Oreochromis niloticus: one gene and its partner. The protein of the gene in region 1 binds, or shares a complex with, the protein of each later gene. Links are inferred from orthologs where the notes say so. Each region holds a gene or a part of one and is shown on either strand. Other genes may lie near its edges.

The links.
Region 2: the proteins of nup58 (region 1) and nup54 are in contact, whole or in part, in a crystal structure (PDB 4JO7), measured with the Homo sapiens proteins. The link is inferred for Oreochromis niloticus from reciprocal best matches to the Homo sapiens genes NUP58 and NUP54. Residues at the interface, in NP_054808.1 of Homo sapiens: Pro342, Tyr345, Phe346, Leu349, Val350, Phe353, Gln356, Leu357, Tyr360, Gln363, Ile364, Leu367, Leu371, Gln374, Ser378, Ile392, Tyr393, Phe396, Leu399, Ala400, Leu403, Ile406, His407, Val410, Lys414, Tyr417, Tyr420, Arg421; in NP_059122.2 of Homo sapiens: Tyr453, Leu459, Glu462, His466, Leu467, Gln469, Gln470, Gln471, Gly473, Leu474, His476, Leu477, Ile478, Ile480, Ile481, Asp484, Leu485, Ile488, Lys489, Leu490, Val491.

Annotation. Positions count from the first base shown.
Region 1 is NC_031974.2:22,932,732-22,940,584, forward strand, and holds the start of nup58 (nucleoporin p58/p45), read left to right. Parts: upstream 1-4,850; 5' UTR 4,851-5,226; coding exon 5,227-5,306; intron 5,307-5,856; coding exon 5,857-6,017; intron 6,018-6,105; coding exon 6,106-6,138; intron 6,139-6,261; coding exon 6,262-6,540; intron 6,541-6,762; coding exon 6,763-6,931; intron 6,932-7,120; coding exon 7,121-7,186; intron 7,187-7,427; coding exon 7,428-7,602; intron 7,603-7,853. Other genes in the region: phosphatidylinositol-3,5-bisphosphate 3-phosphatase MTMR6, read right to left, coding at 416-547, 2,702-2,725. UniProt on the Homo sapiens protein: Component of the nuclear pore complex, a complex required for the trafficking across the nuclear membrane.
Region 2 is NC_031972.2:17,440,924-17,448,327, reverse strand, and holds the start of nup54 (nucleoporin p54), read right to left. Parts: upstream 3,017-7,404; 5' UTR 2,900-3,016; coding exon 2,857-2,899; intron 2,470-2,856; coding exon 2,362-2,469; intron 908-2,361; coding exon 824-907; intron 674-823; coding exon 509-673; intron 131-508; coding exon 50-130; intron 1-49. UniProt on the Homo sapiens protein: Component of the nuclear pore complex, a complex required for the trafficking across the nuclear membrane.

The DNA of each region.
Region 1 (7,853 bases):
ATTATTATGTCACACACATAGAGGTTGTAACAATTGGGGGCTTGTCCGGGATTTGAACCCCAGCAAGAATTACACCCCTAGACACAAAGCCTAGAAAGGTGGGGTTTTAAACCACACACACAGAGCAAACCTTCACAGAGGTGTAGCAGGAGTGAAAAACATAAAAACATTTTGCAGGGTAATAAATATTTATTAGTAGACTAAAAAGAGGACCAAATTGTCTAAAGAGCACACTTGGTTTGCATGAAACTGCACCATCAATTTATAGAAAACTGGCAACAGGAGGTAAAAGTTCTGTGAGCACTTGCTATCCTCCTGCCTCTGCACAACAGTGCATTTGCTGAGGTGACATCCATATGCAAGCACTCTGAAACCTGCATTAATGGGCAGCATAGTTGGCACAAAAACTACTCACCCAGACCTCCTGTCCAGCAGAGGCCGAGTTGTTAGAGTTGCTCTCCACAAAGATGAGATGCGTGGCTGTGAGGTACAGAGTGCCGTGAATGGATTTGTTGCTGAAGCGATCCAACAGCCGCACCTGCTCCACCTGCAAAAACAGATGTACATAGTGGTAATATCTAAATAATCAGGAGCACCCTTTGCTTCTCTTGCTGGATACACTGAGACTACAAGAGACGGCATCTTGCGAGCAGGGTTGACACCTGACAGAAAAATTACTGGCACCAGTTCCGGCTAGCACACCAATTAATCCTGGCCACCTGGCCCTCACTATCAGCTGCCAGTTTAATTTTAATAAGTGCAATCACAAGTGACATTTGCTGCCACTGCCTTAATAAATAAACCACCTGCCTCTTAATTAAACAATCCTATCTAGCTTAAAGTCAAACACAGTTCATTTTGTTTTTACTTCCTTATTGAAAATTTATATTCAATTGCTGCAACAGTGAAAGTGTAGCAACTTTTAACACTAATACCACATAAATGCAGATATAGCAGATATAGTGAGTTATATATTTACTCAAGTCACGAGTTTTCACACAGGAAGAAGGCTTAGGTCTAATAGCTATAACAGGTTTTAAAAAAAACCTTTAATGTGCTTCTGGTTTTCATCCTAGAAAAAAATAAATAAATGAATGAAAGCAGTTTTATACAGCACAATCTTTTTAAAACGTTACTAAAGATCTTTATGAGACTGGTGTCACAACAATATAAAACAAACCCAAACAATATCACCATTGGACTTTGCTCTGCACTGTTGCATCACAGAGACAAGACATATCAAAATAAAAGCTCCTGCCACCTTCACTCTATAGCCAAAGTGCATTTGGAAAGTCACTGATTTTTGGACTGTGCAGTGCTGTTAGCACTACCTGTCCGAATCCATGATTCATCACATTAGCTGTTTCTGGTTGACTCAGACATCCTCCACTTTGTTTCCGTTTGCTGAGATATGATGAAACGATCAAGCCTCTCTAGGTCGCTCAGCAACCTGCGGGTCGCGGCTCTGTCATAAGTCAGCTTCTTGGAACATACAGGAAGTCAGCTGAGTGTGTGTGTGTGTTTGTGTGTGTGTCTGCATGAGAATAAATGAGCAGGTTAGAGAGAAAGGGAAGAGAGAGGGAGGACAGAGACCACCTCATACCATCTTATAGGGAAGTTAATGTTAGGATTTGTGTTTCATTCTGTTACGTGCCTATGCAACTTAAACCACCCAGATTGTTACAACAAGCAGCTTGTTTTCAACACTATAACATCAAATAATAATCTCCTCCGACTTTTAAACCAGACAAACCACTGAAAGGTGTGGAGACAGACGGGGAACACCCATTCTGCATGGGTGTTCCCCGTCTGTTTCCATACCAGATCTCAGCATTTCTTTATTTTTTCCCCACCGACAAATAACACAATTGTCCTTGAACCTCAAGAATCGTGTCATACTGCTTCCTAACATGATCAAAAACACAGACGTTAGATAACATTAAGCACACCCAGCCACCATGTGGCAGACTAAAAAGAATTATGAAGATTACAAAGGTTATATGTACTAGGACTGTTGGCTGTTGTTGGTTGTTTTTGAATGGCTGTAGATTAGATTTGAAAGGATCAATGATTTAAGGGTTAAAGAGATCAGCTCTTTTGCGCGCACACACACAGCAGTATATTTTCTAGCAGTACAGGCCTGGCAGGGCTAAACTTGTACTGCAGCACTCCTCGACTCTCGCCTTTTTCAGCTGGTTGCTTTCCTTTTAATCTGGTCTATCTGGAGTGATTTAGCCCGGGCAGTGAGCTCACTGTCTGGCGTTTTATGCCGATGATAAAACTGTGATGGCCCTATTTGACGTACAGTCCAAGTCAGCCCTGCGTGTCTGTGCTGGATATGGTCCGGCTTCTCCTTGCTTCTTCAATCACACTGAATTCAATGGCTGTACTGACAGTGGATATCTGTCGCAACAAATAGCAGAGCGTGCAAGTAGTAAAATTAGATAGAGGAAGCCGATCTGCCTGATGAACGGGAAAAAACAAACGGCTCATTGATGCTCGTCACGTCTGCTGACACTTGGAGTCGTTGGCGACACCTACTAGCCGCCACGCTATAACGTCGATTCACACAAATTCACTCTGAACACTGATGGCCAGAAAACGGAGCCTCACTCGAGCCTTCCAACAAAATCGCAAACAGACAAGGCCCAGCTGCCGACTGTATCCCATCCATTTGCAATTAGCAAGAAACGTTAGCTACCTTTGGCGTTCGGATATGCTCCATTTTTCCCCCCCCCGGGTCGAAACAGCTGTCAGCGACTGCAAAGCTTCAAACGAAACCCTCCGGATTGAAATGTATCATTGGTGATGTGACAGCTTCGACTCCTGCACAAGCCGCCTTCACTTTTTCGGGGGCATACGATATGTGTTTATTGTCAATTATTTTCACTCCATCCGCGTAAAGCTCGCGCAAAGCACGTCGGCGCTTGAGGTGGGGTTTTTCAAAATAAAAGCCGGATCAACTTCAACTTTGAATTCCTTTACTTTTTTGGTGGTTGCGGTTGTAGGGCAGAGTTTGTAAGCCATTTGAAGTTATCGTGATTAATATAACCTAAAGACTTAAACTATTTGTGAAAAACGCTTTAGTTAATTAAAAGACAATAATAGATTTTTGATATAAAGAAAATGAACTGAAATGAACTCGGAAAACTAAGAAAAATAATAGAATGAGCCATTGATGGACAAGCTTACTGAGATTCTGTATGTCTGTATGACTGTGAGTCAACTGCTTTCAAAAAGTTCTTCTTATGTTATAATATTGACACTGATTTTTTTTCTAAATCCGTCCTGTAGTATATATTTTCCAAAAACAATAATACTTCAAAAGATTAAAACTAAACATTTTCCAAACAACAAAAACTGAACTGAAACCATCAAACCTACTTTGGGAAACTAACTGAATGAAAAGCAAAGTTAAAATGAAATCAAAATAAAAGATAATAAAAAAATTACAACCTATAATAATTATTGGCATGATTACTTATAAAATGTTGTCAAACTAAAGCAAATATACTTACAACGTGTGCTCTTCTCAAGAGAAATTGGTTCATCCTTTGACTATCTAAATAACTACTTTGACGGTGTATCAGACTAAGGATTCAGCATGACTCTGGAATAGGCTGCTGCAACCTTTCTACAGATGTGGGTCAGTCCACAAAAAGACAAACTGTCCACTTCTTCTTCTTTCAGCTGCTCCCCTTATGGATCACCACAGCGGATCATCTTCCTCTCTCTCACCCCATCTCTCCTGCATGCCCCCCTTCACTATATCTACAAACCCCCTCTGAAGTTTTTCTCTTTCCTCGTCCCTGTCAGCTCTATAGTCAACATCTTTCGTCCAGTAGATACAGCATTGCTCCTCTGTATATGTTCAGTCCATCTCATCTCTAAATCTGTCCATTGTTTCGGATGGGTGACCTCAGGTAAACTCATCCAACTTCATTATCATTCCTCTGTTCCTTGCAGCTTTATCATTCCACATGTCTCCCTCTAATTCTCACAGATTCTGTCTTGTTTCTTCTGACTTCCATTCCTCTTCTCTCCAGACCAGATCTTCTCTCCATGTCGCTAGGCTCCATCTTGCCTACCACACACCTCACCACTGTATTGCTGTCCTAAAACAAGTACAGCACCAGCCTCACATACTTCCCTGCCACTGCTGACTTCCTCATGCAGTGCCACAGTTCCTCTTGGCACCCTCTACAAAGGGATGAAATTCAGGACTGTGCACAGGTTACATCTAGCAAATATCACACTGAGAGCAAAACAAAAAAAAGAACCCAAACCTAATGTCAAAAGATCTGAATAAATCCCTGCTGAAACATGTATTAATATGTTTATATGAAATTAAAACATTAATTGATATTAATATTGATAAAATATATTTTCCAGAGTTTGCAAAAGATGACCTGGATGTTCTGCAACATTTCTGGGCCAAAAGAAAAAACGTGGAACAATTCAACAAATGTTGAAAAGCTCAGATAACATATTTGCAACATATTTGTTTTCATAATTTTTTGGTTCATTAGGTTACCAAAAACTATTTCTGACACAAACTTTTGAACCATTCGTCCGCCCCGGGTTCAGTATGATGGAGCTGTTGCTCATTTATCAGGTAAGTAACAGATTATTTAAACTCACAGAGACAATGACAATTTTGAATCAGCATTGTGCAACCAGTTATACTCAATTTTGCAAATACATTAATGTACTCTGAGCTATTCATCTACCGCGTTGTAATTATAGTCTGTAGCTGCCTCTTTTATTTTGAAAGGAACACCGGATTCAACATACATTTGCTGCTAAGGACTGCCAGACTTGATCCCATGCGCATGCGTGACACATCACGAGACGCTATATCTGCGGGGATGACGGTTAATGTAGTTGAAAAAAGAAAATCCACTACCCAAAATGCACTAGCATATAGGACATACCAGGCGGGGAATAAGAAAAGTGACACCATGCGTGAATGCACCCTGCGATAATTGTCAGGTTTAAGAAATAGAAGCGGAGGAACAGGTTGTGTAAACATAGCGGGTAGCAACTGAATATTTTGGGATTTAGTGAGAGAGCTGATGAGTTCAAGTATGTTTTGGTGAAGACGGGACCGCGGGCTCGGCCCTCACGCGGGCGACTAAGCTAACTGTCGTGTTAGCTGTGATGTTTTCAGAAGTGAGCTAAGCCCACATAACCGATTGGTGTTGACACTGTGCCTTTTAAAAGAAAATGTCTAGCTTTAACTTTGGTTCGGGAGCTCTTGGGTCCACCAACACAGGTGGAGGATTCACATTTGGGGGCGCAACCAGGTAACGACAAATTTCAGATAGCCCACTTAGCTAACGCTAGCATAACCAGAGGTATCTTGGCGTTAGCATATACGGCTTGCGAGTTTCAAAGTCAGTGCTGTGTACGTTGTTTTCCCGAGTTATTCAGCAATGTCGGGTTATAGATGAGCATTTTAATGAGATAAATTTGTAAACTCTGTTATAATTTGAAACTTTGCACATGCAGGCACTGTAGAGTGAACTCTTGCAAACTGCGGGCTACCAGGAGAAGTGTTTGAAGTAACAATTAAGCTTTAGTAGTTTTAGTTACTTTTTTTAAAAAGAGGGAAATTAGTTCATAACTGGTAATAATGTGGTTGGGATTACCATCCATCTGTAAAGCACTTATCACCTTTTAGGTCTTCTATATAGAAATTTAAGACCCTGTGTATTTTCTTTGACAAAGTCCTAGTTGTTAATCTGTGTGTACTGTAACCATAACACAGTGTCAATCTTTCCTTAATTTGAAACTTGTAGAAGATATTGTAGAAGAATGTATGGGCCTAAACCTATTACTTTTTTTCTTTGAAAGTGCTCCTGCGGCCAATACCGGTGGCTTTTCTTTTGGTACAGTTTTGGGTACAGCAAGTGCAACCCCCAGTACCAGCACCAGCACCCCATCTCTTGGCCTAGGAAGCAGTCTTTTTGCTCAGAAACCTGCTGGAGGATTCTCCTTCAATACACCTGCCTCAAGTAAGAATGCAAAATAATAAAGAAATAAAACTATTTGTGATATTTCCGCCAGCTGCCCATCTTATGCTGGGACCTTGTGTTATTTCAGGTGCTGCTGCGCCCACTACAGGCCTCACATTAGGTATGTTTGGGGTTCTCTCTGGGGTATTTTGAAGTTGAAGTTGAAGTGTTTCTGAACAACAGGTAATAACTATGTTTTGTTTTGTTTTTGTTTTGTTTTTTAAACACAATTACTTTCTCTCAGGTGCCCCAGCCAGTACAGCTGCCACCACTGGCTTTAGCTTGGCTTTCAACAAGCCCACAGCCTCAGCTACGCCGTTCTCCCTCACAGCTACTAGCACCTCTTCGACAGCTGCTGCTGGGACAGGCTTGACGTTTGGCTCTGTCCTGACCTCCACAGCTCCACAGCAGCCTACAGCCACTGGCTTTGCCCTCGGTCTCGGCGGCACTACGACCACCACCACAGCAGCCTCAACAGGTCCATCACTAGGCAGCAGTCTCTTCTCCAGCACTGGACCCACAGGTGAGAGGCAAACTGTCAGCTTTACAGAGCTTATGTGTTAAAACATGGCCAAGTATTAACAGAATACCATCACTAGGATAGATGATTTCAGACTTCTTTTGAGTTAGATATGCAAAGTGTTTGCGATAATTAAGGGAGTACAGTGACTGCTTTGAATTACAGTGTGTTCTTTTTAATTAGTTGTCACAGTCCTGTAAACTGCATGATTATGTCTTGCTGCAGGTCTGGGTCAGGCTACTCTCGGTGCAGGAGGCGGGTTATCGTTCGGTTCTCTGCTGGCAACCTCGACAGCGTCATCAGCACCTCCTGCTCCGAGTATTGGCCTGGGTGGAGTCGACTTCAGCACTTCCTCTGAGAATAAGAGCGACACATCTTCTGGAGCCAATGCGCAGTACGTCCTAGTGACCCAACGCGGTCCTTTACTGTCTTATGGAATTTGTCTAACAAAAGAGTCCACACTGTTATGCAGAGAAGAGAAAAAATTACTGAGAGACAATGAGTGTCTCACTCTGCTGTTAATTGTTTAGCACCGACTATCCTTTCTGTTCTAATGATGAAAAACATTTTTTCTCACCCTCAGAGACAGCAAAGCTCTAAAAGATGAGAACCTGCCCCCAGTTATTTGTCAGGATGTTGAAAATTTTCAGTAAGTATTGGTGTGTGATTTTTATCAGGTGTTTATTAGGTTGAATGCAGCAGTATGACCCAACCCAAATTTTATCTGGTGAGGTCACTAGGATTTCCCCCATTCTGTGTAAAATCCCAGATGCATACATGTAGTTTGAGTAGTAGCACTTTGAAAGCATATTTTGATAGTTTGGCATATCTGTCAGAGAGCTTTTATGTCATCTACAAGTGATTTCCTTCTTTTCTCAATTCCTTTGCAGAAAATTTGTGAAAGAGCAAAAACAAGTTCAGGAGGATATAAGCAGAATGTCATCAAAGGCCATTTCTAAAGTCCAAGATGACATCAAGAGCCTCAAACAGCTTCTGTCTGTCAGCGCCAGCGGTCTGCAGCGCCAAGCTTTGGCCATCGACAAACTGAAATTGGAGACGGCACAGGTAAAAACAGTGTACTTATGTTGGTACAGGTGTCCATTTCTGATGCACGTTTTTTGTCATTAAAAAGTTAGTCAATCAGACACTTGCATTACAAACCCCTAGTGGATACACAGTATATAGTGTATGCAGTGTTGCAAAATATATAAGTCAGGAAGTTCAATATCAGTGTTCATTTCCTAAAAGCATCTGTAGATATACCTAAGATAAACAAAATTATATAAAATTGGACTTCAGATGAACTTAACTTAATA
Region 2 (7,404 bases), on another chromosome or scaffold:
TTAACTGTAATAAGGCAGAGTGGGGGTTCAAACCAGCTCTATAACTAACCCGTTGCAGGGGGAGCAAAGCTAAATGTTGCCCCTGGTGCAGCAGCAGTTGTCGTTGTTGTTCCGAAGCCACCGAATGTGCCTAAGAAGAAGAGAAAAGAAATGTGCTCAACGAGGCGACAAAACCCCCCAAAAGCAAACCAACAAACAAAACAGGTGAGAGAATGACAGAATGAATTCACAACTGCTACCATTAATAAGAGGAGAATGAGAATTTCACTACAATATAGCGATTTACCTCTACACAAAGGTGAAAGTGTACTGACTCTTCACAGCAATCAAATGAAATGAGTAAAAAAATTCAACATTTTGTCTCTTCATGCAATCACAGCGATGTATTGTGTTCATGAAATGAATCACCAGGTGAAGATAAAACGATCCTTGATCCACACAGATATCAAACAATGGATGGAAATGTAAGTTTACAGACAGAGTGTACTGATTCACAAAGGTCATCTACCTGTGCTAGCCAGGCTATTACCAAAATTGAAAATTGTGCCAGTGGTGGTTGCTGTACCAAAGCACCCCACATTAAAGCTGACTGCTGCCGGGTTTGCATTTAAACCGAACCCCCCAAAACTAAACCCACCAGCCGTGGTGTTTCCAGCTCCCAGCCCCCCAAATCCTGCAGCCAAAGCAGGCAGGCAGCGAGAAAGAGAGAATGACATGGAATTAAATGACACAATGCCAGATTCAGCACGGACTCATTTATTGTAAAAACAGTCTTCAAGTGTCTTAAAAGAAAAGCTACGCGTCTGAACAATGAGCATCTTACCAGTGTTGGTGGAGCCAAAGCTAAAGCCTGTGGCTGGTGCAGCAGTGGTGGTGGTGGCTGCCCCAAAACCAGGGGCTGTTAGAGCTAATGAAGGCAAAGCACACAGAAATAATACATTATATATGCATGGCTTTATTTTGCATTAGTTAGTAAAACGAAACATTAACAGCCAGCAGAAGAGGGTCTTTAACTTCTATGTAGCAACCGCTGAAGGAATTTTTTTTTTAAAAAGGGACCGTTTACTAAAGTGCCCACAATTCCAGTTCCCAGATGTGAGTGAATCCCCAGACTCCCATGATAAAATGCTCAACTTCAGCTATGAAAACCACATTAACAGCCTAGTAGTTTTGGACTGTATGTAACTGTCTGTGTTGAATACTAGTAAGGCCCTATTTAGACAAGATCACACAGGCTTTGAGGCTAGCTGGCAACTACGTGGCAACCACTGGTTGCAAGGGAAAAAAAAAACACATTCCCTGGTTGGCGATTGGTTGCTGAAGACTGCTGGCTGTCACTGAGTGAAATCGGTTGCAACGAAAATGCTGCATCAAAAGCATCTTATGGAAGATGATGACTTGTCTGCAAACACCTAACTACTTGTCGAGTAGTAGTGAAACTTGGAAAAAGTGCGACAAACCAGAAACGCAGTTCTGTTGCCCTCAAATGACATATGCCTCAGCATTTCAACCAATACGTTTCAAAACATACAACTTTTACTCTGAAGGTGAACACTCCCAGTTTACAGTTTGTGTCACACTTTTCGCAGTTTTACTAGTGCATGGAGAGCAGTTGGTGTATCTTCCATGCAAACTATATGCGACCACTTATCTGTTAGCAATCACAAGGAGGCTTTTCAATGCACCACTGCATTCTTCTTTGAGACCAATTTCACAGCAACAACAGCCAACAACCACTTGCTAAACAGTGAGAAAATGCACATTTGGTTGCTAATCCAAATAACCAGACCTCTTGGAGAAGCTCCAGGAATGCTTGCTTTACCACCAATGCCTTTCAGGTGGTGGTCTTCATCAAGCTCATCATGAACTGGACCCCCTGACAATGTTTATAGCGTTGGTGCCCTTTTGAGCATTTTAAAATGAATTTTTTGGCAAATAATATGGCTTGCTGTGTGATACCATCCATCCAAGCAGTTTGGGTTTATGAGTGACATTTGAGTATTTAATTAGTTTGTTATTTAGGACTGATTAGCAGCTGCCTGTATCTGTGAGGTGCACCATATAGTGAGTGCTTAGTTTGCCAGTGTTAAAGCTTTAAAAAGGAAACCCAAGAAACCAACTGGTAGATATGTTCAAAATGCATCGAGAGGTGAAGAAATGCCCAATTTAAAACAAACAAAACAACCCAGAACCTTTGAGCCCTAGACTGAGGGAACCCAGTGGGCTCAGTTATGCTTTGAGGAGAAGGGTTTGGGAAAAAACCCATTCTATGTTCATATTGGTGGCGGTTACGTGATGATAATGCCCCACGCACAGGATAATCCCCGCAAGGAGGAATCTGGGTCTGAGCTGTGGACTTACTACCGAATCCGGATGAGGCTGTGGTGGTAGTGGCTGGGGTCCCGAAGCCAAATGTTGTCGATGGCGTAGTTTTGGCTCCAAATGAACCGAATGAAAACCCGGACGTGCCTTTTAGAAACAAACAAACAACGAGAGAGCGCTGTAAGTACTGGGTGAGTTTAGCTTGTTTTAGCTTACACACGGGCATCCAAAACAGTTAGCCACAAGAGCTCGGTCTCATTGGAGCCCAGATTAGCACCGAAACACGCGAACACAAATCCGACTACAGTTCATTAGTTGCACTGACTCAAGTGTAAAAGCTCTCCGTTTTCACGTGAGGTCTGTCGTTAGCCGGTAGACGAACCCACCGTAACAACTGAGGGTGAACCATTAGCATTGCCATTTCTATTTATAACTCATGTACAAGCATTAACACAGCTTTAGCTTCGACATGAAATATGTAACACATTACCAGCTCTTACAAGTATTTCCCAATTAACTAAAAAATATCCATACTTGCTGCTGGGTTGCTCGTGGCACCGCCAAAATTGAACGCCATGTTGAGTGCTGTCACCACAGACACCTTCTTCTTCTTCTTCGTCTTCTGCTGCTGCTGCTTCTTCGTCTGACTCTGGTCCAACTGGGTGGCACACTACCGCCACCTGCTGTCCCAAAATGTTAATTCAACAGCCGCCGAAACAAATAGAGTACTTTTATGAAAAATATTTGTGGCAAGGAACAGGACCGGTGTTGTGTCAATAAGTGAGATGTTTCCGTGTGTCTTCTATGTGCATTATATTTGATTATATTGGTAAATAGATTGCAATCAAGAGGGGGTATGAAGGGGTTTTATATATAAATAAAGAAATGACCTGCTTTGCAAGTATGATTATTACTCTGCAATACTGTACCAACATTATAAAATATATGTTATATAATTATATCGTTTTTTTTTTTATTTTAGCTTTTTACATTGCAATGGGAATCTTCCTTCTGGAAGATTTTAAGCCAGCATGTCATTTACAACTGTTTAAATCCTGGGAATCAATTTTTGGGCACCCTGCAGATTTATTTTCTACACATGCATGATGGAAATTAGCACATTGCATCTCTATTTATTGAGATCTGGAGACTGTAGAGGCCATTTGAGTACAATAAACTCTTTATGTTCAAAAAATTAGCTTGAAACCATTTGAGATTTGTGAAATGATGCATTGTTCTGCTGGAACCAGAAAATGGGTACACTGTTAGAAGGGATGGACATGGTCAGCAGCAATACTCAGGCAGCCCGTCATATTTAAACAATGCTCAGTTGGTATTAAGAGGCGCCAAAATGTGCCAAGAAGATAACATTACACCAGCACCACCAACAACCTGCCCAGCTGATACAAGTCAGGATGTTTACAACAGCACCATTCAAATGTTGCAGCAGAAACTGAGACTGGAAAACATTTTCCAACCTTCTATTTTCAATTTTGGTGAGCCTGTGTGAATTGTAGCCTCAGTTTCCCCGTCTTAGCTGACAGGGGTGGCATCGCTGTGGCCTTCTGCTGCTGTCGCAGATCTGCATTAAGGTTTGATGTGTTATGCGTTCAGAGATAATCTTCTCCTCAAAGTTGTCTGGCCATTCTCCTCTGACCTTTACAGCTCACTGGATAGTTTTTAGACCCTAGAAATACTTGTGTGGGAAAATCCCAGTAGATCAGTAGCGGTTTTTGATACGGGCGACACGGGCGGTTGCCCGGGGCGGCATCACGGGCAAAAAAAAAAAAAAAAAAAAATTGCTCGTACTCACGCTGCCCCGACATGATGCCAGCGCATTTTGGGAATGTCGTAGGCACCGATCGGTTTTCTATCGCCCATTTGCTGGGAGTAAGGCCGCCATCCGTTTGCGAGGTGCGCCTGCTGCTTGCGGCACAGGGAGGAGAGGGCGGGGCGGCGGGGGATTCTCTGGCTGGCTGGAGCAGCATCTAATAACCAACCCGCAAAATAAAACAAAATAAAAACAAACCAACAAACACGAAAACATCAGACATAATGATACAGACTTATAATTTGCACCGATGTTTTTTCGAAATTCTATACGCGAAAAGTGAGCGCGAGAGCCCTCGGTGCGCCTGCTTGCTGCTGAAGTCAAAGTAAACTTTATTGTCATCTCCGCTACATACAGTCCAGTATATAGAGAGACGAGACGACGAGGCTCCAGTTACTGCAGTGCAAGTAAACAAACAATATAGTAAGAAAATAAATCAATAACAGGGATCAATAACAATTTAAAATTTATAATTTACAATTTGATGATTTAAAGTCTCACACACAACCCGTCGAAAGGGGAGGAGAGCCCTGCTGCTTCCAAATAGAGCACATTTCATTCATAATGTTGTAAATCCAAAAACCATTATGTATTCATGATCTGAATCCTGGGTTGTGTGAAACCCCAGAAATAAACCCCAGACAAAGTGAATCTGTGAACTAAGGTGTAGGTCTATTAGGTTATGTTGTGGTGATCCTCGGGTTGAAGGATGGGTGTTCATACTGGAGTGCAAAATGAAAACCAATGGAAGATGGACTAGAAAAGTTCAAAGCCATCAGGTGCTCAGTTTAGAAAAAAGAGAAAAGAAGAGGAGGAGAAACGAGCAAAAGATACAGGTAAGCAGATGTGTCATTGGATAATGGCAGGTCATGTATCCTGAAACAATCAGAATCAGAATACTCTATTAATCCCTAAGGAAATTATGTGGGTTACAGTTGCTCCAAGAAGAAATGGTAAAAATGGTAAAAAAAAAAAATGGTAAAAATAGTAACAGTAACAGACTAAACTCCAAACATTATGTAACATTTTTTACACATTTACACAGAGGGAGTGTTCGCCCAGGGCACCAGACAGGCTAGGACCGCCACTGCACTGTAAAATGTAATTCTAGATGTTTGTTATTTCAACATATTATTCTATATCAGTTTGACGATAGATGACTGAAGTTGTTGTTATAACATAGAATTACAAGTTAAAAACGTCCCAATTACACCAAAAAAAGCTAACTTGAAAACTCATGTCCAGCTAAATCAGAAACTTATGTGAACTTGACAATGTGGGTAAGTTGAGCACAGCAGGATTCAAAACTGCCTCACGTGACTCCTACCGAGGTGCATCATGGGGAATTGGCGGTTAACGACATGCTCACTTTACTTGGACGTTTTCTAATCGTCTTCTTTGGAATATGCTTTCAAGGTGAGTAACATTGGTTATAACTATAAGGAAAGAGAGCTACAAAAGTTGGAACATGTTTTGAATTTATGGCATGATGTGTGTTTTTCTCTTTTACCGAAATGTTTGCTTTAGCTAATGTAACTTTAGCCGACAAGGTCCAGCTTGTGTGTCATGACCAAACTTGACCTAATAAACTGACACATGGCCTTTTTTATGGGTTTAATGTGGCACTGACCAAATCACAAGTATTGTGCCGCTAGCTTTAAGGTTGTGCACTCAACCACTGTTGCGATATTAGCAAGCTAACTCAGCTAATTAATAAAGCTTATTTCATATTGTCTCTGTACTTGTAAATTTCTTTCAAGTTCACAGGCTGTTGTATTTTGGTGGAAGTTCATTTTGGCAATATTTCCAATAACTGACTGGGTTCAAAAAGAACTTTTTGGCAGGACTCCGATGCTTGTTGTCATCTGTTTACCCCTATGTAATCACTTAAGTTGTTATTAACTGCTGCATGCTAAGCTGCAAGAGTGCACTGAGGATTGAGACAAAATATGGTCTACAAACCAGCATTATATTAGTTTTTATCAGATAGTCCTCCAGTGTGTTTATTTTTTGCTTTAATTCTATTGTGCAGTTATTTGTTACCCTGAAATGCTTTATGCTTAACAACAGCTCACTATTTTAACTTATTTTTGAACTCTTGTGATCAGTATGACTAGATTGTGTGAGTTTCCATACTAAAAGAGCTGTAGTGATAAAATAATTGGCATCAGAGACACTGATTTTTGGCATGGTATACTGCAGAAGTTTTTTGTTTTTGTTTTTTTGCATAATTTACCTTTTAATTAAACTGCATTCTCTGTATTGTAACAAAACTAATATTGTTTATATGTCAGAAAATTAGCAAACATGAATAAATGGCGAAAACAATATAATTATAACATATATTTTTATTTTACTTATTTTAGGTCTGTGAAGCCAAACTTGATGCTGGGGATTTATTTTTGTCAGTGGAGTCAAATGGTAAGTTACAATTTGTGCATTTTGTCATACTGGAAACACCACAGATTATATTGTAACTTAATAGCTCTGTAGAACAAATGATATAAAGATTGTAGTGTCAGGGTACTTCTTAAGAAGTAATATGGCACTATTGATGATCACATGCAGGTGGCATAAACTAAATATTCAGACCTGTTACCAACAAATGATTCATTAACAAAAGCAATGGAGCAGACTGTTTAGGTTCTTGTGGTTGTAATAACATCCATAACTGCAAGTTTGTCATTAATTTATTTTCACAGGTCTAGATGATCACATCTGTCTTTGTCATTTAAATGAGGTGGACTTGCAAACTTTGCACTCTTTTGGGTAAATTGCTGTCCACTACATATACACAGAATCTGCACAGTATTTCAGATCTAAAAAGGGAGTATGTAATGGACTTGCTGGCTTTAATGTAAAAAGCCTGTTGTGTAACTTTAATGAGGCAGTTGGACTAAAACAGTATTGCTCATCAAGGTAAACATCTGAGGAATAAGGAAATTGTTACTTGTCCTTTTACTCAGTGTTCTTTTAATCGCACATTTACTAAAGTTTTACATCACATAAGTCATTTTCACAATCATTCTACTTTAAAAGATTTCAAGACAGAGCTTATTGTTCTGTGAACTTCCTTGTTTGCTGAACGGCAGGTAAAGTGCATCTTTTTGTTTGTTTGCTTTTGTGTGTTTGTGTTTTCTCTAATGGGCCTCAGATGACTGTTTGCTTAAATTTGGGTCTCAAAGAATCTTTTTTTTATTCTGCCTGTACTCTCCACCCCTCTTCTTCTATTGCTCAGGTTGAAGCAGAAT